Alligator mississippiensis: one gene and its partner. The protein of the gene in region 1 purifies or fractionates together with the protein of each later gene. This does not show direct contact. Links are inferred from orthologs where the notes say so. Each region holds a gene or a part of one and is shown on either strand. Other genes may lie near its edges.

Evidence for each region. The genes of interacting proteins can lie anywhere in the genome.
Region 2: the proteins of MAP1S (region 1) and STK4 purify together in Homo sapiens (affinity purification with mass spectrometry; 3 studies listed by BioGRID and IntAct, with this or other methods). This does not show direct contact. The link is inferred for Alligator mississippiensis from reciprocal best matches to the Homo sapiens genes MAP1S and STK4.

What each region holds. Positions count from the first base shown.
Region 1 is NC_081839.1:2,079,888-2,090,475, reverse strand, and holds the start of MAP1S (microtubule-associated protein 1S), read left to right. Parts: upstream 1-5,737; 5' UTR 5,738-5,770; coding exon 5,771-5,894; intron 5,895-8,412; coding exon 8,413-8,514; intron 8,515-10,588. UniProt on the Homo sapiens protein: Microtubule-associated protein that mediates aggregation of mitochondria resulting in cell death and genomic destruction (MAGD). Plays a role in anchoring the microtubule organizing center to the centrosomes. Binds to DNA. Plays a role in apoptosis.
Region 2 is NC_081832.1:16,837,131-16,846,895, reverse strand, and holds the start of STK4 (serine/threonine-protein kinase 4), read right to left. Parts: upstream 3,864-9,765; 5' UTR 3,652-3,863; coding exon 3,620-3,651; intron 1-3,619. Other genes in the region: TOMM34 (mitochondrial import receptor subunit TOM34), read left to right, coding at 4,246-4,366, 6,809-6,908, 7,718-7,870, 9,218-9,387, 9,641-9,765. UniProt on the Homo sapiens protein: Stress-activated, pro-apoptotic kinase which, following caspase-cleavage, enters the nucleus and induces chromatin condensation followed by internucleosomal DNA fragmentation.

The sequences.
Region 1 (10,588 bases):
GCAGACGATTGAGGTCAGGCCGGAGTGGCCCCTGCTCGGCTCTGCTGTTTGCCTTTCCAGAGGCAGCCGGTTCGGCCTCCAGCTCGGAGCCCTGGCTATTAACCTCCTCAAGGAGCGGAGCGCGGGACCGCGGGCGCCTGCCTCTTGCAGCCTGCACCCCGGCTGCTCCCCTGGCAAGGGTGAGCTATAGGCAGGCAGCTCCCTGCCATGCACGCACTGGCTCCATGGGGCAGAGCTGGCCGAGGCTGGGAGATGCCCTGCACAGGACACACCCAGGGCTCAGTGCCCAGTGGGCACCGCCACACCCATGCAGAAGTGCAATCATGGCCACAGCTGGCCTGGAGCGTGGCCCTCAGGATGGGGCACTCGGGCTCGGACCCCGCTGCCAGGCCAAGCTGCTCGCCTGCCTCCCGCGGCCGGGCTGCAGTGGAGCGCGGTGGGGCCGCCCAGTTTGGCCGGGAGGCGAGCGTGCAGAGAGGGGGTCTCGGGCCCAGCACAGACCTGGCCTCGCCGCGCGGGCCAGAGCAGCAGCTGAACGGAGCGGCTCCGGGGCCAGAGCAGCTGGCCCAGTCCGGCCAGGAGATGAAGCAGCGGTGGTGACATCACCCCATCGCTATGGAAGCAGTGAGATCATGGGCCGCACGCTCCAGGGCCCGGAGCCAGCTCCCAGTAAGTGCTTCCTGGGGGGAGAGACAATGAAGCCAACACATGTTCCCCTCCCCGCCCGGTCCCCTCTGACCAATAACCCTCCGCTGATTGATAGCGCTGTCCGGCCGGGGCCCTGCCTCCTTGATGGATGTGCGGGGAGGCTTCACTTAAGGGGAAACTGAGGCACACTGGCCTGCCCTGGGCCATGCGGGCCAGGGGCTGCGCGGCATCGGTGCCAGGGTCTGGTCCTACCTGCGATCCAGCTGCTGGTGATTGCTGAGTGAGATGCACGTCGTGGGATCAGTGTCAGCCCCAGTGTTTTGGGGGTGGTACGGGGCAGGCAATGATGGTGCTCTTCCAGACTGTGTAGCCTTTGGGGGAGCCATTTCTGGAAGGGGTAACGGGACAGTCTCCCTCTTGGGAGGTCTGCCCCCTCCTGCGTCCAGAAGTCACCCCGAGAGCCCGGCCTGCCCAAGCCACCCTGCCCCTCCTTTGCTGTCCAGCTTGCTCAGGCCAGGGGGGCCCAGGGTCCCCAACCGAGGGGGTAGCAGGGAGGGGTCTCACTTGCTCTCTGGGATGCCTTCCCCCAGCTCTGAGCCTGCAAGCCCGGGTCTGGCTGTGCAGAGCAGGGGGCTCGGCCTGCATCCAGCGAGCCGGCAGCCCCCCACCCCCAGCCATATGGCTCTGCGGAGGGGAGCGAGCGCTCCCCCCCTCCGCCCGCTGACATTTGGAGCAAGGAGGATGAGGTCAGCTCCTCCAGGCAGCCGCCTTCCCCGCTCGACCCTGCTGCAGATGGGGCCACGTCGCTCCAGGCCTCTCGGGGCCAGGGGAGCAGCGCTCTGGATCCTTTGGCATTTTCCCTGCCCGGTAGCCTGTCGGGACGACTCGGCGGCTTTGCGATGTGATCTGTGTCTCTCCTCCCAGGGCATCTGGCAGCAGCTGCCGGGGCATCAGAGGAGGCTGCGGCCCGGTGGCTCCTGGCCGAGCAGCTCTGTAGGTTCCTCTGCCCACCCCCACAAGGAACCGGGGAGCCCCGGCGCCCCACCACCACCCTCCACATCAAGGCTGGCAGGGAGGGGAGCAGGGGGCTGGTACTGAGGGGTCCCTTGGGGGGCTAGCGAGGATGCCGAGGGTGGGGAGGAGGGAAAGCTTCCGGGGCTGGGGGGGCTCCTGGTCTCAGGCCGTCTTAGGGTGCAAGGAGGTTTGGGGAGCCAGAGAGCCATGCCCGTCCCCTCCCCCCCCCCACAAGCAATTGCTAATCAGTTCAACCAGGCTCTCCCCTCTCTCTCTCAAACCCTCTCCTCCCCCTGCATGGACTCCTTGTCTCTTTTCCCAGCCCATCCCTTCCCTGGACCCTGATTCTTTTCCCTTGTGGGGTGATTTTAGGTGAAGTCCTGTCCCCTGCCTGGGCATCGGTTTTGCCATCTGTAAAATAGGAAGAAGAAGGTGAGGGATAGATGAAAAGCAAACTTCCTCTGTACCTGGGGAGCTGCGTGCATGTGTGTGCATGCATGTGCATGTACGTAATAGAGACTCTCCAGTGCTCCATCGCTCGGTCCCATCGGCAGGTGGCAGCTGTCCATCGCATTTTCTGCGCTAAGGGCTCCAGCCGGCAGCTGCCGCTCTGGACAGACCATCCCATGGTATTCCCTGGCCGGTCTCCAGTGGTGGCTCTAGCTACCTCCGTCCCAGCTTCTTCCCCAGGTGCAGGGCCCCTTCCCTGAGGCAACGGCTGTAAGTGCTTTCTCCGTGTCGCCAGGACTTAAATTGAAGTTGCACAGATCATGCCCTGGGCATCCAGCAGCTGGGACATGCACGGGACCCATCTCCACCCCATAACTGGTGAGTTCAGCCTGCAAATTGTCCCCCTTATTGCCCCAGAGTCACATGCAAGAGGTCAGTAGCCACGGCCCGTTTGGCCCTTCGCTTCTCTCTGCTGGACTGCCCACAAAGGTACCACTTTGCTGCCCATTGCAAGCAGGAACAAGGCCACTAAAAAGCCACCCTGTGTTCCCTGCCTGCTGGGCTGCCAGTTCCCTGGGGCAACGCGAACACGCCAGCACGCCTGCCTTGCAGCGCCTAGATCTGCCCTCATGGCTGCAGCATGAGGTCACACAGCAGTGTCGGCACACTTGTGTCGTGGGTGTTGCAGTAGGAGCCAGAGCCAATTGCACTAGAGCTTGCACATTTGTGTGGAAAGAGACGGGCCTGGCAAACAAAACACACCAGCAGAAACAAGAAGGAGTCTTGGCTCCAGTTTGCAGACGGGGAACTGAGACCCAGCAAAGTGACTTGACCAGGGTCAACCAGAGAGCAGTTGTGGAAGCTGAACCCAGGTGTCCTGGCTCCCTGTCTGCCTTAGCTCGGGGTGGGCAAAATGCAGCCGGGGGGCTGGATGCGGCCCACCAGGCCATTCTATCTGGCCTGCGGGGCCCCTAAAAAATTTAGAAAATTAATATTTATCTGCCCTGTTATGCGGCCTTCGATGGCTTGCCAAAACTCAGTAAGCGGCCCTCTACCAAAATAATTGCCCACCCCTGCCCTAGCTGCTAGGTCAACCTGTCTTGCAACACCAGGTCACATGGGATTGTTTCCCAAGGTTGTGTGTGTGTGAAAGCCTGTTCCCGTGTGCATGTGTGCTTGCACAGGTGTGTGTGCTTCTGTACAGCTATAGATTTAGCTCTAGAGAGAGAGCAAGGATAACCAGATCCATGCTGGGACGCTCTTGCTGAAACCCGCTGAGCAGTAAATCCACAGATTTCACAGACATTCGGGCTGGAGGGGACCCCGGAGGATCATCGAGTCCAGCCCCCTGCCCAGGGGCAGGAAGTCAGCTGGGGTCATAGGATGCCAGCAAGATGAGCATCCAAATTTCTCTTGAAGGTGTTCAATGTAGGTTCATGAACCACCTCCGGTGGCAGGCTGTTTCAGACCTTGGGGGCTCGGACAGTGAAGAAATTCTTCCTTATGTCCAGCCTGAAATGGTTTTGCTGGAGTTTATGACCGTTCGACCTTGTCATCCCTTGGGGCGCTCTGGTGAACAGACATTCCCCCAGATCCTCGTGGTCACCCCTGATAGACTTATAGGTGGCCACCAGATCACCCCTGAGCCTGCGCTTTTCCAGGCTAAAGAGCCCCAGGGCTCTCAGCCTGTCATCGTAGGGTCTGCTTCCCTGAGCTCTGATCATGCGCGTGGCTCTTCTCTGGACTCTCTCAAGCTTCTCCACAGCCTTTTTGAATCGTGGAGCCCAAAACCGGACGCAGTACTCCAGCTGCGGCCTCCCCAAGGCCAAGTACAACAGGAGTATGACAACCCCAGGATTTGCTTGAGAAACATCTTTGGACGCAAGCCAGCGTTTTGCTCGCTTTACTAGCCGCAGCATCGCACTGCAGGCTAATGTTTATCTTGTGGTCAATCGTGACCCCCAAGTCTCTTTCTTCCATAGTGCTAGCCAGCGTAGCACTGCCGAGCCTATAAGGATGCTACGGGTTTTTCCTCCCAAGGTGGAGAACCTTGCATTTATCGGCGTTGAACACCATCAGATTCTCATCTGCCCACTTGCTGAGCCTGTCCAGGTCAGCCTGGATCACCCGCTTGTCTTCTGGTGTGGATGCTTTGCCCCAAAGTTTGGTGTCATCGGTGAACTTGGCCAGTCCGCTTCTGACCCCAATGTCCACATCATTAATGGAGATGTTGAACAGTATGGGTCCAAGGACAGAGCCTTGGGGGACCCCACTGGTGACCACACACCAAGACCGTCCACCACCACCCTCCGGGTCTGACCACGGAGCCAACTCCCAGTGGCGGGAATCCAGGCACAACCCAGCCGCGTGGGCCGGAGGCTCCCCGCATGGAGCTGGCACCAGACAAGGAGCCGGTGGAGGGGCGCCTTTCTGCACCCTCCCCATTCGTGACACTCTCGACACAGCCTGCGGCTGGAAATGCAGAAGTGGCCGAGGAGCCGGCGACCGTTGGCAGCTGCGCGCCTCTCCTGGCAGTTTCTTCTCCAACAGGAGTTTCTCCATCTCCAGCAGACCGCAGGCCGGGGCCCGGGAGGCAGCTCTCCCTGCAGGCCGCGCCGTGCTGGTCTCAGGGGGGCAGAGGGCAGGGCAAGGAGCAACGGGCCCAAGTTGCAGCAAGGGAAGTTGAGGCTGGAGAGTAGGAAAACCTCTCTCAGGAGGAGGGGGGTAACGGGTTACCCCGAGAGGTGGTGGCATCTCCATCCTGGGCCCGGGTTCACAAAGCCTGCATGCAGCGGGGCTGGTGATGTGAGCTCCCAGCTCTGCCCAGCCCTCTGTTGTTCAGGGATTGTAGGGGCAGGTGCAAGCTGCCCGGGCGCAGGAGGCTGCAGGCGGGGGCAGGGGCAGGTGCCCACAGGCTTTGCCTTTTCTCTCCCCCTGGACAGGCTCTGAGCCTGGATGGGAGCTGCCAGCCTGGGGCCACCCATGCAGGGGGAGCAGAGCCCGGTCCCTGCCCCGGAGCCACGTGGGGCCCTTTGCTGTCTGCCCCTGCGGGGGGGCTCCGGACCCCCTGGGTCTGCAATGCATTTGGAGGTGCAACAAAGGGGGGGCTCTGGACCCCCTGGGGCTACCATGCACCCAGGGGGAGATGCAACAAGGGGAGTCTCCAGCCCCCTTGGGGGTGTGATGCATCTGGGGGTGCAACAAGGGGGGTCTCCAGACCCCTTGGGGGTGCAATGCATTTGGGGATGCAACAAGGGGGGGGTCTCCGGACCCCTTGGGGGTGCGATGCATTTGGGGGTGCAACAAGGGGGGGCTCCGGACCCCTTGGGGGTGCAATGCATCTGGGGGTGCAACAAGGGGGGGCTCCGGACCCCTTGGGGGTGCAATGCATCTGGGGGTGCAACAAGGGGGGGTCTCCGGACCCCTTGGGGGTGCAATGCATCTGGGGGTGCAACAAGGGGGGGGTCTCCGGACCCCTTGGGGGGGGGTGCGATGCGCCAGAAGGGGGCGCAGCCGGGGGCGGGCCGGGCGCGGCGCGCAGCGGGACTCCTGCCCCTTTAAGAGCGGCGGCACCACCCCCGGCCCATACAAGGGCAGCGGTGACATCAGCGGGCGGGGTTTCCCGGTGACGTCAGGGCGGGGCGCGGGGGCCCCGAAGATGGCGCTGGCGGCGGGAGCGGGGGGCGCGTCCGGGCCGCGCCGGCACTCGCTGCTCGTGATCGTGGGCGGCGGCTGCAGCCGGCCCGGCCTGCTGGGCTCCGTGCTGGGCGAGCTGGAGCGAGGTGAGCCCCGCCCGGCCCCGCCCGCAGCCTCCTCGCCCACCCCCCTCCCCCGCCGGGGGCGGGGCTGCACCCAGGGGGGAGGTCTCAGGACCCCCCCCCCCCGTGGGGCTGTGATGCAGAGGGGGTCTCTACCCCCCCCCCATGCGGCTGTAATGCACTGGAGGGGGAGGTCCTGACCCCCCCCCCCCCCGTGGGGCTGTGATGCAGAGGGGGTCTCTACCCCCCCCCATGCGGCTGTAATGCACTGGAGGGGGAGGTCCTGACCCCCCCCCCCCCCCGTGGGGCTGTGATGCACTGGGGGTGCTGCCCCCCCCCGGGGGCTGCCATGCACCCGGCAGTGCACCACTGCATCCTGGCTCCGCTGGACTGGAGATGAGGGGGGTGGGGGGGCGAGGAGGCCGCTCTTGTATGCCCCCCCCACCCGTGGCCTGGCCGTGGGCTGAGCGGGGTTCCCGGAGCGCTCGTGGTCGCTGCCACGCGGCGGGGCCGGCGCTCGGGGCCTGTGTCGGGTTGGCTCGTGGGACTGGTGCGGGTGGGAGCAGCAGTTCATGGGCGGGGGGCCCCGAGGCTCCGTGGCCTCGTGCGGGGTGGCTCCGCCGCCCCAGGGGCTGCTCGCCTGCCTGGCTGTGCGCGGTGAGTCACGCGTGCAAGGTGCGTGGCCCCGGGGCGTGCGGGCAGGCACCTGTCTCCTGCAGGAGCGTCGGGGAGCACACCTGGAGCTGTGCGGCACGCCCGGCGCTGCCGCCCGCCTGCCCGCCCGCCCGCCCGCTCGTGGACCCGTGGCATGGTTCGGCCCAGGCGTGTGCGAAGGGAGACCTGTGCCAGGCCGGGCCGGGGGCTTGTGCACGAGGCTGCAGGGGCGTGGGGGCTGCAGGCGCCGTGACAGTGGGCAGGTGGCTTGTGGTTGCCTCGTTAATGGACTTAATGGCTTAGCGGCGGTGGGAGGCCCAGGGTCCCGCTGGGTCACGGCCGGCTGCTCGGAGGAGCAGGATTACGGCGTGTCCGGACTCGTGCCAGGCCAGAGTGCCACTGGCCTGCACGTTTGGCTCGTGCCACACGTGGTCTCCCCGTTGCTGGGTTTTGGGGGAGCTCCGGGTGACCCGGGGGGCGGCCTGGGCTGCTGGGTGCACGGCAGTGACCGAGCTGGGCAAGCGATAGCCCCGGTCTCGGACCCGGCCCTGCCTGTGCATAATAGCCCCGCTCCGGACGCTGACCGTGGGGCTGGCTGCCCCGCGTGAGTTGCCTGGGGCTGGGGCTGGGGCTGAGTCACGGGCTGACTGTCCAGCCACAGGCTGCTGGCTGGCCACGCGGCTGACTCGCTTCCCGGCGGCCCTGTGCCAGTCCTGCAGCCGGAGCCGGCCTGGCCTCGTGCCCCTGCCACTGGTGTTGGGGGCCGGTGGCCCAGGCGAGCTGCCAGGGGCGCCCCCCCAGCCTGGCAGCATCTCACCCTAGTCAGACCTTCGCCGGGTCCCTGCTTGCAGGGCTCTGGTGCGGTGCGTGCGGAGAGCGAAGGTCCCCACCCCGCCGACACACGCTGTTCGTCCCGGTAGTAAATGAGGAAGCTGGGGTGGAGGGGGCGGGGGCGGCACTGCCTTTCCTGCCCGCAAGGCAGAAGCTTCTCTCCCTGGTCACTACAGAGCAGCGTGGCCTGGCCTTTCGTGCCCAGCCCCTGCACAGGCAGGCTGGAGGGCATGGGGGGTGCCCGTCTCTGTGCCAGGAGGGTGCCGCGAGCTGCTCTGCAATGCATGGTGCTGTGCAGAGGGCACTGCCGCTTGATGGACTTGCAGGGATGGGCAAGCAACACCCGCCCGGGGCAGGGCAGGGCAGCACAGGGGGCTATGGACGCGGGAGCTGCAGCTGCTTTCCCGCCCGCCCTGGCCCTGCCCCGCTCGGATTGCCGGAGCCTTACGTAAGCCGGCGCTGGGCTGGGGATTAGAGCCGGTGACGTGAGCCCCCCTTCCCCGGAACGTGCTGCAGCTCCGGAGCCTGCAGTGTGTCTGTGTGCGCGTGCAAGGGGAGGGAGTCGGAGCGTGGCCAGGCATCTGGCCAGCGTGGGCATGGGAGGTGCATGGGTGCCCCTGGCAGGTGCTCTGGGGCCAGCGTGTGCTGGGCCCTAGTTGCCCTGGATGTCTGCGCTGCCCAGCACCTGGCAGGGAGCTGTGCCGTCGACCCCCTGTGCCCCCAGGTGCTGGAGGTCCAGATTTCCCTTCCCTGCCTTGCTGTGTCCCAGCTGCTGCCTCCCCTGTGTGGCAGTGCCCTGGGCTGCGTGCCCGGGTTGCTATCCTTGCACCCGCAGCTTTGTGGCCTGCGCACTGGAGCAGGATCCGGCAGCCTCCTGGGGGATGGGGAGGGGGCCAGAGGCCTGAGCAGGGGCTTGGACCTCCAGGCAGAAGGTCTCTGGGGCTCGCATCCGCTCTCTGTCCAGGGTTGGGCTGTGAGTGAGGGATTGGCTCCCGCTGAAGCATTGGCACTGTGCCCCATTTGCCCTCCCTTGGTGCTGACGGGCATCTCTCCGCAGGGATCCGCTCCTGGGACATCGATGTGGCTGCCTGCAACCTCGACGAGCAGCTGAAGCTCTTTGTGTCCCGGCACTCAGCCACCTTCTCCAGCATTGTGAAAGGTGAGGCTGGCGCCTGCTCCGGGCATGGGGCCCGCAGCTGTGTCTCCCCGCTGGGGGGGCGCGGGGGACCACCCGGCCCCCTGGGATGCTGCTACCCCTGGCTGGGGCAGCCTGTTGGCAGTGGGGCTAGGGGAGGTGCCTCCTGGACCTCTGTGCGTGGCTGATGCCCCGGGTGGCATCCCGGCAGGGTCTGGGGGCCTGCGCTGGGCTCGGGCAGGGCAGCTCGCACTGCTGCCAGCACCCCAGGCAGACAGGCCTCGTTCCCGGGGCAGGATGGAGGCTCTCCAGACTCGAGCACGAGTCCTGCTGCTCTCTTCTCCATGGGACCGTGGCTCAGCTGCCCTGCCGGCCCCGGGCACAGACAGGAGAGAGGAAGGCTGTGCTGCAGCCCCTCCTTCGGCGCAGGGAGCAGACCCCCTTGCTCCGGCTGCGTTGGCCCAGCCTGGGCAAACATTTAGCCGGGGCCATAAAGCCGCCTTTGTGCTCAGCGGCACCGCGCTCCTCGGCGCGCACAGATGCTCTCATTCATCTGCGCCCTGCTCTCTGGGAGCTCCCAGCCCCGGGGCTTTGGCCCAGCGACGCCTTGCTCGCGTCCGACTCGTGATGCCTGCACCTCCCACCCCCCCACAGCGCCAGGCAGGAGCTCCCCTTGCTTTGGACCCCTGTGCTGGGGGGAGAAGCTCTTGGGGTCCCCCACAATGCTGGCTGGGGCTGTGGGCTTGTCACAGGGGCTCTGAGGCTCCTGCCTGGATAGGGACAGGCAAGGTTTCCTGATGCTGCAACCTGCAGACTGGGGCTGGGGCATGGCAAGAGTGATTTTTGGGGGGGTTCCTTGGGGGTTACGGTGCCCATGGACTTGGGTCTGCTGCCCTGGAGGCCCCTTCCAGTCCCTGCCCCCCACCCTGAGCCTGCAGCCTCCGCCAGGGAACAGGCCTGGCTTTGTGGCAGGCAGCTGCTGCCGGAGCCAGTTGCTGGGGGTGGGGGGAGGATGCAACCTCCTGCCCCAGCCTGGGGGCAGCTCGGCATGTGCTGTGGGGTGCGGAGCCCTGGAGCCCCTTGTGCAGCTGGGGACAGAGGGTCCTGTCGTCCCCAACCCCCCTCCTCCCCCCCAGCCTGCAAACAGCTGCTTGACAAGGCTGAGGCACAGGCTGGCGAGGTCCCGTCCTGCCCCCCCCACCCCCGTGCTGCTGGATTTGGAGGCGTTTGCTCTGGGGGTGACCATCTGCACCCCTTGTGCTGCCTCCTTCCGCAGGCTCCCCTGCCCCGTGCGCCGCAGGCTGGTCATCGCGCCCTCAGCTCCACGGGGCCAAGCTGTCATGCTCCTGGCAGCTGCTCTGCCCTCATGATGTGTGTGGGAGAGGGGTGTCCGGTTTCCCCCGCCCCAGCCATGTGACAAAGCAGGATTGGCACTGGGGGTGGCCGGAAGGGACAGGCTGGGTGGCGGACGTGGAGCTGTGCAGGGATGTGAGAGTGGGTCAGAGGTGGCTTTTGCTGAGCCTTGTGGGCAGTAGGGGGAGCGTGGCTGCCTTGCACAGCTGGGAAAACTGAGGCAGGCTGCAGCGGGCATCCCCCGCTGGCTGCCCGGCCCCGTGAGGGGTGCGGGCACCACTGGTATGGCTTTGCCTGTCCCTGCTGCCGGCGTCTGCCCGAGCACGTCTTGGTGCCCTCCGGAAGGTGGCTTCCTGCCGGCCTTGGCCCCATCCCTTCCGCCTTCCTGAGCTGCGGACGCATCCTCCTGCCCGGAGCCGGAAGCCCCTGGGCCGCGGGAGCGGAGATGGCTTTTCCAGGCGGCCCCGGGACGTGCGGTCAGGCCCAAGGCTGCCTCCGATAGTTGCCCGTGGGTGAGAGGGGCAAGTCCCTGCTCCTGGGGGAGAAGGCGTGACCCGGCCAGGACACCTGGGTTCTCTACCCAGGTGTCCCAAGCTTTGTCCCAGCTTCTCCGCCTCATTCCTCCCACGGCAGGAAGGAAGCCGGGAGTCTCAGCCTCTGGCTCAGCAGATCTGCCGGCCCTGGCCGTAGTGTCTGGCTCGTGGCCCTGCTTCCTGCGTGGCGGGGGGCCGTGCTTGTCCCCACA
Region 2 (9,765 bases), on another chromosome or scaffold:
TATCATCTTTAACATACTTCAGAATTACTGACCAAGAAGCTACACATAAATCACTATCAAGTTCTAAACAGCTCTTAAGCATACAAACACCCAAAACCACATCTTTTAAGATCCACTAAGTAGCCAACACATGCCATAAGAAAAAGTGCATCACCTATGAACTAAAAACAGTTATATTATGGTTACAGAAGACAAAGAGACTTTTGTAGCTCTTTATCAAGCAATTCTTAAGTCTCTACATTTGAATTATATAAAAAACCGAAATGCACATGGCTGCCTGCTGTTTATAAATAACATGAGCTGTTGTCATTAAACATGAAGAAAACGGGCACAGTTTGTACCTAAGATACTAAAAATGTAAAAAGCTTTTGTGAAGTTGCTGAAGCTAGGACTGGAAAGCACTCAATGTGCATCTGCTATTACGTCAATATGCAGAAGCCATATAGGAGAAGCAAGATGCACATGGGCTATACATACAATGGCTTCCTGAAATGAAGGAAACAGTACAAGCAAGCAAACTCAGGAAGTGGCGAAATACTGAAAGTCACTAGGCTCTTTGCAATGATAAGCATTAAACCAAAAGAAGGTTACTTGTTCTTGCTTGAATAACAATACCTAGTCACCATTACCAAATAGCTTGAAATGTAGTAATCTAAAGGGCAGATACTACAGAATAAAGTGTGTAGAATTAGATCCAGCCACACACCAATTCTACATGATTTTAGAAGATCCAAACATCACATGAGCTCTTCAGGAGCCAATTTATTGCCTATTTCAAGTGACACTAAGCTTCCCTGTTCCTGAACATATTCAGAAATTCAATGGTATTCTTTCAGCATCTAATGAGCCTGAATCAGGAGTGATCCAAATTATCTAGGACACCCTGTCTTTTACAGCATACCTTTTTATAGAGGGTTAAGATGGAAACAAAAACAATTTTGCTTTCTGGAGTGTTCACATCTAATCTGGGTCAGGTATAGTTAAACTTCCATATAGACAATTATATACTAAATTATAGGTAAACTAAACACATTACTAACAGCAGATATTTTGCTCCCTTGTCAGTTAAACTAGAACAAAAAAAAGAAAAGAAAAGAAAGCCAGCTGCTATCTGTCACAAAACAAAGGAAACTGCCTCTTCTGCTCATCTCTCAAACATACAGTTAGAAACAGCTGCACACCACCGATAGTGTTCTGACAGACTGAAACTTCATTCAATTGCTGAAGTGCTTCCAAATTATCCTCTGTCCAGAGTTGTTCAACAACAGTCTGCAGTGAAATGATAGGCTACTAACAGCTTGGTTCACATGTCTTTGAAATCCCAAACTGACACTGCCTGCACACCCAACAGATGTTACTTATCAGAAAAAAGTAAGAGCGAACATTAAGGAATGTTAGCAACAGTATACAAGGCATTGAACTGAGCTTCAAAGGATAAACATCCTGTCACTGCTAGCTTGCACTTTTAACTGCTAAATGGAATAACTAGGAGATTAGAAAATAAATCATTTCATTCCCCGCCCCCCCTTAATACACATGTAATAAATAGTGGCCTTTGTTGATGAGTAACTTTAATTAAAAGGGAAGACACAAGTGACTTCCAAAAATCAAAATTCTACTTCCTTAGACTAAATATGCCCTAGGCCTTTCCCAAACTAATTAAAAAGAAATTTAACATCTGATTTGACATGTCTCAGTCAGTCCTAAAAGGAAAAGTTGGGGGGTTTTTTTGTTTTTTTTAAGAGTACAGAATGAATCTCCTATTGAAAAATGGAAGATTTTAAGTCATTAGTTTTTCATGATCTAGCAAGGTTTCAGACCTAGTTATACTAGCATGTTGTCTGTCATTCAAAAGTCCTCTTAATTAGACTTTTAAGATTAACTCCCAATATTAACTCAATCTACAATTAGAGGGAAAAAATGAACAGATTCATATTGCTGGCAACTTTTCATACTTCTACACTTTCAGGGGTTCTTTAGAGAAGGTTTGACACCCCCCATTATTTCCCATCAGCTTCCGGTTTTGCTTGTGAACAATATGAGCCAAAGGTTGCAACAGAATAAATTACACATCAGTTGATCCATTTCTTCCTCTTGGCTACTTAAATCATCTGGTTGTGAATTGCTCTGTCTAGGCTCCACTGCTCTCATCCATAGTCAGAGATCATTGAACCTTAAAATAGACAGGAACATTGGCAGAACGCAGAGAGAACATGATAGATCTCACCTAAAAAAAGAGCTTTGTGCAGTTTTGCAAGAGATACACAAGGTTATCACAACAACTGCTACCCCAAAATACCCCGAAATATTTCTAAGGTATTTTAAAGGGTCACCAGCTTGACTTCTAAAATCACCGGGAAGTGAACTTTCCCAAATGTCAAAGAAAACATAATTGTCATAGGATCTATGATACAGTGCACGTGCACAGATGAAGATAAAGCCCTCCAAATATTCTGCTATAAGGAAATGCGAGTTCCCTTAGCTATCATCACTTGCCAGACTTAGTGCTTGGAGACCTAGAAGTAATTACAGGGCATTCAGAACTCCAGACGGATTTACTTATGACTAACAAATATATTCCACACCATATAAATGGAATAAGTGCATCAGCAACAAGGAAATCCCACAAGTTTTGCTTTCCTCCATGAAATATTTTAGTTGCAACTCTAAGCAATATATTCTATTAACTAACTGATGCTCCTTGCACAGAAAGGAAAATTGTGAAGACGCTACCTCAGTCATCTTAGCTGTACCTACTGGGTTTCAGAGAAAAAGGGTATTATTAAGAAGACAACATTAGGTCTTTATTTGGACTTACAGCAATGACCAGATTTCCCCTCCTTTTACTCCCTTTTTTTTTCAGTGCCTTGAATACCAAAGGTTTTGGATTTTCCTGTTGCCTTACATAAAAAGGCAGGTTAAGCTGGAACATTTCCTCGAGTTCCCGATACCTATTTAGACTGGCAACCCCCAGAGAGCAAATGACTCTTATTCTGTGAAGAGCTGTGGGAATTCAGCACTTCAACAATGCCTCTTTGATCATGCTAAGGCAGAGGTGTCTTAAACATCACGACTACAAAAGCACAGCTCTCGTTTCCATGATTGGCAGTTACGTTGCCAAGACTCCCGTTCCTTGCCATACTTGCATTCGGTAACGGTGACTCGGTGTTGTTATTCAAGCAAGAACAAGTAACCTGACAGGGCCCCGAGGCCTTTCTTGCTTCACCCGGCGCCTTGCTTTCTGAAATAAGTCCGGTTACAGGCTGGACACGGCTCCTGCGTGACAAGCCCGGCTCCCCTAACCCCACATAACAACAATACACCTGCGAGGATGGTTTGAAGAAGGGTGGAACCCACGACCAAAATCCCCAGCCAGCAGGGGAGCGACTCCTCCGGCTACAAACAAACGACCTATTTAATTCGGGGCTGATTAATTCGGGCGAGATCGGACACGCGTCAATACGCAACTAAGTCGCAGCAGCCGCGACTACCCCGCGGTGGGGCGTGGGGCCGCCCCCGGCCCCGGCGGAGGTGCTGCCACCCCGGGCGCTCGGAGCCGCGAGTCCCCATGACAACCGGGTCCGCCGGCCCGCCCCCGCCTCGCCTCGCCTCTCCTCACCGGCGCGGGTTGCGCAGCTGTACGGTCTCCATGGCGCGGCGGGCCCGTGCGGGCGACGGCGGGAGACGCGCTCACTCCGCTATGGCCATGGCCACGGTGCCTCCTCTACCTCCCGCTCCACCGGCTCCGCGCGGCTTCCGCTCCGCTTCCGCCTCCTCCGCCCCCACACGCCGGAAGCGTGGGGCGGGGCCGAACGGCAGTCACGTGGTCTCGCGGAGAGGGCGGGGCTCCGCGCCTCCTGCGGCAGAGGGGCGCGGCCAGGCCGCGGGACCGCCCCCAGCCCGAGGCAGTTTCCCAGAATGCGTCGCGCCCTCCTCATGGGCGGGTGTGACTCGTCGCGCGCGTCAGGCCAGGCTCCTGCACGCGCGGTGTCCAGCCAGCCCCGCCGCGTAAAAGATGCGCCTAGTTTCTAGCCCTGCCCCGCCCCGCCCCAGCAGGGAGCCGGGCCCGGCCTTTCCCCGCCCCGCTGTCGCGAGACCCTGCCCCCGGGGGCGGGGCAGGGGCAGGGGCAGGGGCGGGGCCGAGCAGAAGCCGGCGGAGCTGCCCCGCCCCGGCTAGGAGCCGGCAGGAAGCGGCGCCCGGAGCCCCCGGGGAGCAGCCGACGCCCGACTGCGCCTGCCGGCCCCATGGCCCCCGAGCCGCGGGTCGCGGCGCTGCGCAGCGCCGGCAACGAGCAGTTCCGCAGCGGGCAGTACGGGCAGGCGGCTGCGCTCTACAGCCGTGCGCTGGCGCTGCTCGAGGCAGCAGGTAGGGGCGAGAGGAGGGCCCGGCTCGCCCTCTGCCTCCCGCCGAGCCTGGGGCAGGCAGGGGACCCCTCCGCGGGACACCGCGCGGCTGTGAGCTGAGCCCCCCCGCGCGGTTCCTGCCAGGTGCGGCCCCCTGGCCCGTCCGTCCTCCCGGGGCGCGCCAGGGCGGGGCAGAGCTGCTAGAGCAGGGCCCCTCGCAGCAGCGCGGCTCTGCCGACTCCCCCCGCGCCTTCGGTGGCCCAGTTTAAAAATAGTGCCGCGCGGTGGAGGGCAGCCAGCGGGTGACCTGCTCTCGTCATTGCGGAGGTAACGCGCGTTTGGCCGGCTGGACCCGCGGGGAGCGGCAGCCTCCTTGCCACAGTGCGGGTTGTTGCCTTATATGCAGAGCCCAGGCTCCTCGGCCTCTTGTCGGCCCGGATCAAGCACAGTCCTAACTTGCCTGGCAGGGGAAATGCCATGATCACTAGGCCTGTGTGAAACGGCTGGTATTCGCTTCGGATTTGGCCCATTTGGGGGACAGTGATTTGATTAAATGATTCGAATCGCTGTCCCGATTAGATTCCGCCAAATCTGATTCGGAGAGTCGGCAGCAGCCAAATTTCTGAATCAGCCAGGCCAGGCCCATCCCCAACCCCTCTCCCAGGTGGCAATGGCTGCCCCAGCTCCCAGCACTAGTAAAAAAATAAATAAAAAGCCCTGGATCACCAGGTGTTCCTGGGTGGGGGGTGATCCCTGCTGCCCCTCGCTGCATGGGGGCATGCTGCATGTCTCTGCATGACCCCCCCACCCCCCTGACCCTCCCCCTCACTCCTCCAGCCCCTTCCCATGTGTGCACCTCACGGGCCAGCTCTGGCCCTTTAAGGAAAAAAAAATGGAAACAACCCTGGGACTGGCTGCTGGGGGGGGCAATCCCCACACCATGCGGGGGACTCTGCGCAAGACCCCCCAGCTGCTGCAGGAGCAGTGAGTCTGGGGCTTTTCTCAAGTTTTTTTTTTTTTTCTTAAAGGGCTGGAGCTGGCCCAGGTGAGGCACCCGTGGGGGGGGTCGGGGGGCTTGTACAGAGCCCCCCGTGGGGCAGTGGGGGGGGCAGCAGGTTTGGACCCCCCCTGCTCAGCAGCACCCAGTGAGCACCGGGGCTATTTTATTTTTTTTAAAGTACTGGGAGCTGGGGTGGGCGGGAGCAGCCATGGTGGGGGGGGGCTGACCAGGGTCCCCTCCATGGTCCCCTCCCCCAGCCAGCCCCTCTTCCCCTGCCCCTAGTACTTACCAGTTCACAGTCAACTGCAGCTCCCTGCTGCAGCCACTGGGGACTGCCCAAGTCATCAAAGCTTTCCAAAGCTTTTCCGAAGATTTGGAGAGCTTTGAGTCGATTCAGACCTTTAAATTGGTCCCCTGATTTGATTCGGATTCTGAGATTCGGCCGCTGAATCGGGCCAAATCTCCTCCAGATAGAATCACTACCCAAAGCTTCACACAGCCCTGATGATCACCCTGGTGGCTTCCTAGTTGCACCTGGGGAAGACCGCTCTGCTGGCATGGAACAGTATCTGCATAGTTAATACATAGTTAACCCTGGCTTTATGCCCACCTTATGGAAATGGGAGACTCCTCCCTAGCTTGCTTCTGGGGCCTTATGGCTAAGGGCAAGCAAAACTTGGAGGCATCCAAACTCCTGGCTTGGGCCTGCAAGTAGGATGCCCACCAAAGGATTCGGGAACATCTGAAGACCCAGATGGGGGTGGAAGATGTTTGCCAGTAGTAGGGGCACCTATGGTTCTGGACTGACTCTCGAATTTGGAATTTGTTTTGGCAAATTTGGCTTGGAATTATAAAAATGTTCAGAAAATTATAAATTTGGCTTGGAATTATAAAAATTATAAAAAATCTTGGAAAATTATAATAATTAAAAAAAAATCACAATCCAGCCATGGCCCCACAGCACAACATAAACCCAGATGTGGCTGCCAAGGTCCCAAACTTGTTCCATCATAAAGTTGCTAGGGGCTTTTCTTTTTAAACCTTCTACAGGCTCATGTGTTCTGCTGTTGAGTGCTGTCACTACCAGCTGCAGCAATGAAAAAGACAGAATTATGAACCGGGAAACTAGAGACTGGGATCTTCTGAACTCTTAAGCCTAGATCTGATCCACATCGGGATGATCATTGTTTGCTTCTTTGGGGAGACTGACAATTAAGTACCTGATGCTTTGAAGATGAAAGATGAGCTTTATTGCTGGTACTGATCAGTAACTTTAGCAGTTGAGCTTCCAAATGGCTCTCTTGAGCCATACTTCAATATCTGTGAGATCCATCTTATTTTTAGTACCCCTTTTCTGGTGTAAGTAGAAACATCTAATACAGGAATTGGCCATAGCATGCACTGAATATATTGTCCCACATTTCCCACCTTGAATTTATCTTCTGTTTTTGTTTCTGCTCCTAGGGGAGAAGGATGCTGAGGAAATGAGTGTCCTCCATTCAAATCGAGCTGCCTGCTATCTGAAGGATGGGAATTGTAGCCTCTGTGTTAAGGACTGTACTGTGTAAGTAGCTGTTACCCAGATGAAAACCTAAACCGTGTTTTTGTTGTGAATGAAATAAGATAGTGTGTGGTTACCAACTGGGCCTTTCATTTAAGACTATTGGGAGGAAAAGTTAAGTACCTTTAGGGAACCATATAGTAGCCTCCATCCCAAACACTGGCATTGGTCAGCCACCCATAGCAAAACACATATGGGCGAAGCATTTTGCTTGGCCTTTTGTTGTTGGTGTCATTTAAACAAGGTGGGGAGAAGATGTCAAATTCATTTGCTTGAAGCAGTACAAAGGCCTCTCTTCCTTGCTAACCATGTATACATTACTTTTATTTTTTAATTTTTTAATACTGTTGAATTGGCCTTCCATTCCCTACTCACTCCTGCAGGATCATTCCCTACCTAAACCTTTCCACAGCTCTACATCTTTAGTTGTTCTGTAGCACAGCTGAACTGCAACCTGTGTCCATAGCCCTTGTCCCAGCATACTTTCCTGCTTTTGGTTTTGTTTATTCTGAGAAAAAAGTGACTGTCACTGGGAGATAGAATTAATATCTTTCTTCCTTTGTCCCCTGGCTACAACACTGCACACCTGAGAGATGCAGAAGTTCCCCATTCACTTCTGCAGGATCATTCCCTGTCAAGCAAATATTTCCAAGGTGCAATTCTGTAGTTTCAAGGTTGTGCCTTTAAAACTTAGTCATGAAAAGCTGATACCTGACAAACCCCCAGTCCATCAAGTACACCAACCTTCTCCTCTCTGCTGAACTTAACTCAGGTGGCCCAGTGACCTCTCTTGCTTCCTCCCCCTGATACAGTGCACTGGACCTTGTTCCTTTTGGAATCAAACCTCTGTTGAGGCGGGCAGCAGCCTATGAGGCTCTTGAGAGATACCAGCTAGCCTATGTGGACTACAAGACTGTATTGCAGATTGACTGCACTGTACAGGCTGCACATGATGGTGTCAACAGGTAACTTCTAAGTTTATACTGTTACACAAGCCAAAATGGAGGCTTGACAATACAGGCAGCAGCCTGGGTCACTCACAGCCCTGCTTTTAGGATGGTTGCTCATGGACAGGTTGGGTGACTTTGGATTCTGGTTAAATAGCAGAAACCCATTCATCTTCTACCCCTATGCTGTGAATTCTTTAGTGTTAGTGTTGTTTGCTGTCAGCCCTGCAGCTCTCTGTGCCCTTTATGCTACTTCCCTCCCTTCTAGCTGGTAAATGATACACTTGACTGTTCACACTTTCAAGCATTTTGCACACTGTTTATTCTTGAGCAGCTAATGAATGATAAGTGGTCATGATTCAATATTTGCCCCCTCCCCATTCTTACAGGATAAATATGAGTAAATATGACTGCAGTAGGCTTGACTCAACAAGGTCCACGATTAATGACAGGTACCTAAACCTTGCCACAGCTCTACATCTTCATTTGTTCTGCAGTACACTTCATAGCCCCAATCCCAGCATATGTTCCTGCTTTTGGTTTTGTTTCTTCTGAGAAAAAAAAGTCCTCTCTCTGAAATCTGGTTAGTAGGAAGAGCCTCTCTCAGCTTTTCATAAGGGGGCGGATGTGAGATGTGGGGACAAATTCCACAGTACTTAAGTTGCCAAAAGAGGCCCTGAACAAGGGGAATGAGATGATTCTGTAAAACAAACTTCTCTCTGTAAAAGCATCTTGTGAAATGTGAAGGAAGGAATAGGGTTAGATTAGAAATGGTTCCAGTCAAGCAGTCTTATTAAGCATCCTTTCTGAATGGCAGATACAGATGTCCTGTATTTACTTCCCTCTCTGGTTCTCCTCATGAAGATGCATGGCCTCATGATTCAGGAATAGGGCAATGGGAGATCTGGGTTCCGGTCCTATTCCTGACTTGATTTGTGACCTTGGACAAGACGCCTAACTCCTTGATTTTTCCCATATGTAAAATGATGTTTCTCATGTGCTCAGCAACAGCACTTGGATACATCAGTGTGTTCTGTCCATAGATCACTTTGCTGTAGGACAGAGTTCTTAGGGAGAAGTCAGGCTTCCCTGGAATGACTTGGGTATCAGCTCTCTAATTGTACTTACTCCTGTAGTAGCAGGCATGACTGCATACTTAAGTAAATGTTTGAACTACTCAAATGACAGGCAGTAAAAAGAAGCAGTTCTATTAAAGTCCCATTCTTCCAGCTGAATCTCACACATGGGGCTGGATGCACAGCAGTGCTAGTAACTGTTGGCAAGTGGTTAGTTAGAGGCCTGCTGGTAGACTACAGGCCTGTTCTCAGCAGAGTTAGTAGCTGCGCAATCTGTATCTGTTTGCAGAATGACAAAAGCTCTATTGGAGAAGGATGGCCCTGAGTGGCGCCAGAAGCTCCCACGAATCCCTTCAGTTCCTGTTTCTGCTCAGAGAAGATGGGACTTTCCTCATTCAGGAAGCCAAGAGGCTGCCCCGAGAACCAAACCAAATGAGACTGCACCTCTAGGAAAAGAGGGTGAGCACTTTGCTGTTCAGATGGCCACCAGAGTTGTGATGTCAAGAGGGGGACAGTACATGGATGGGGTCTGTCCAGGGCTCACTTGACCCTAGGATGGAGTTCTGTGGGAGGAATCAGGTTTCCTACAGTGCCTTACTTTGTTGTACTTAATGGTGAAGTTAATTTATGATGCTGATTCCTGTAGTAATAAATGAGACTGCCAAACTCTTTGTTTCACATAGTACTGTGTTCTCTTCAACACAATTTCCAGTGCCTACAGCTGCTGCCATTGAAAGAGCAAAAACTTTGAAGGAAGAAGGAAATGAACTTGTGCGGAAAGGAAACCATAAGAAAGCTATTGAAAAGTACAGAGAGAGTCTCAAACTAAACCAGGAA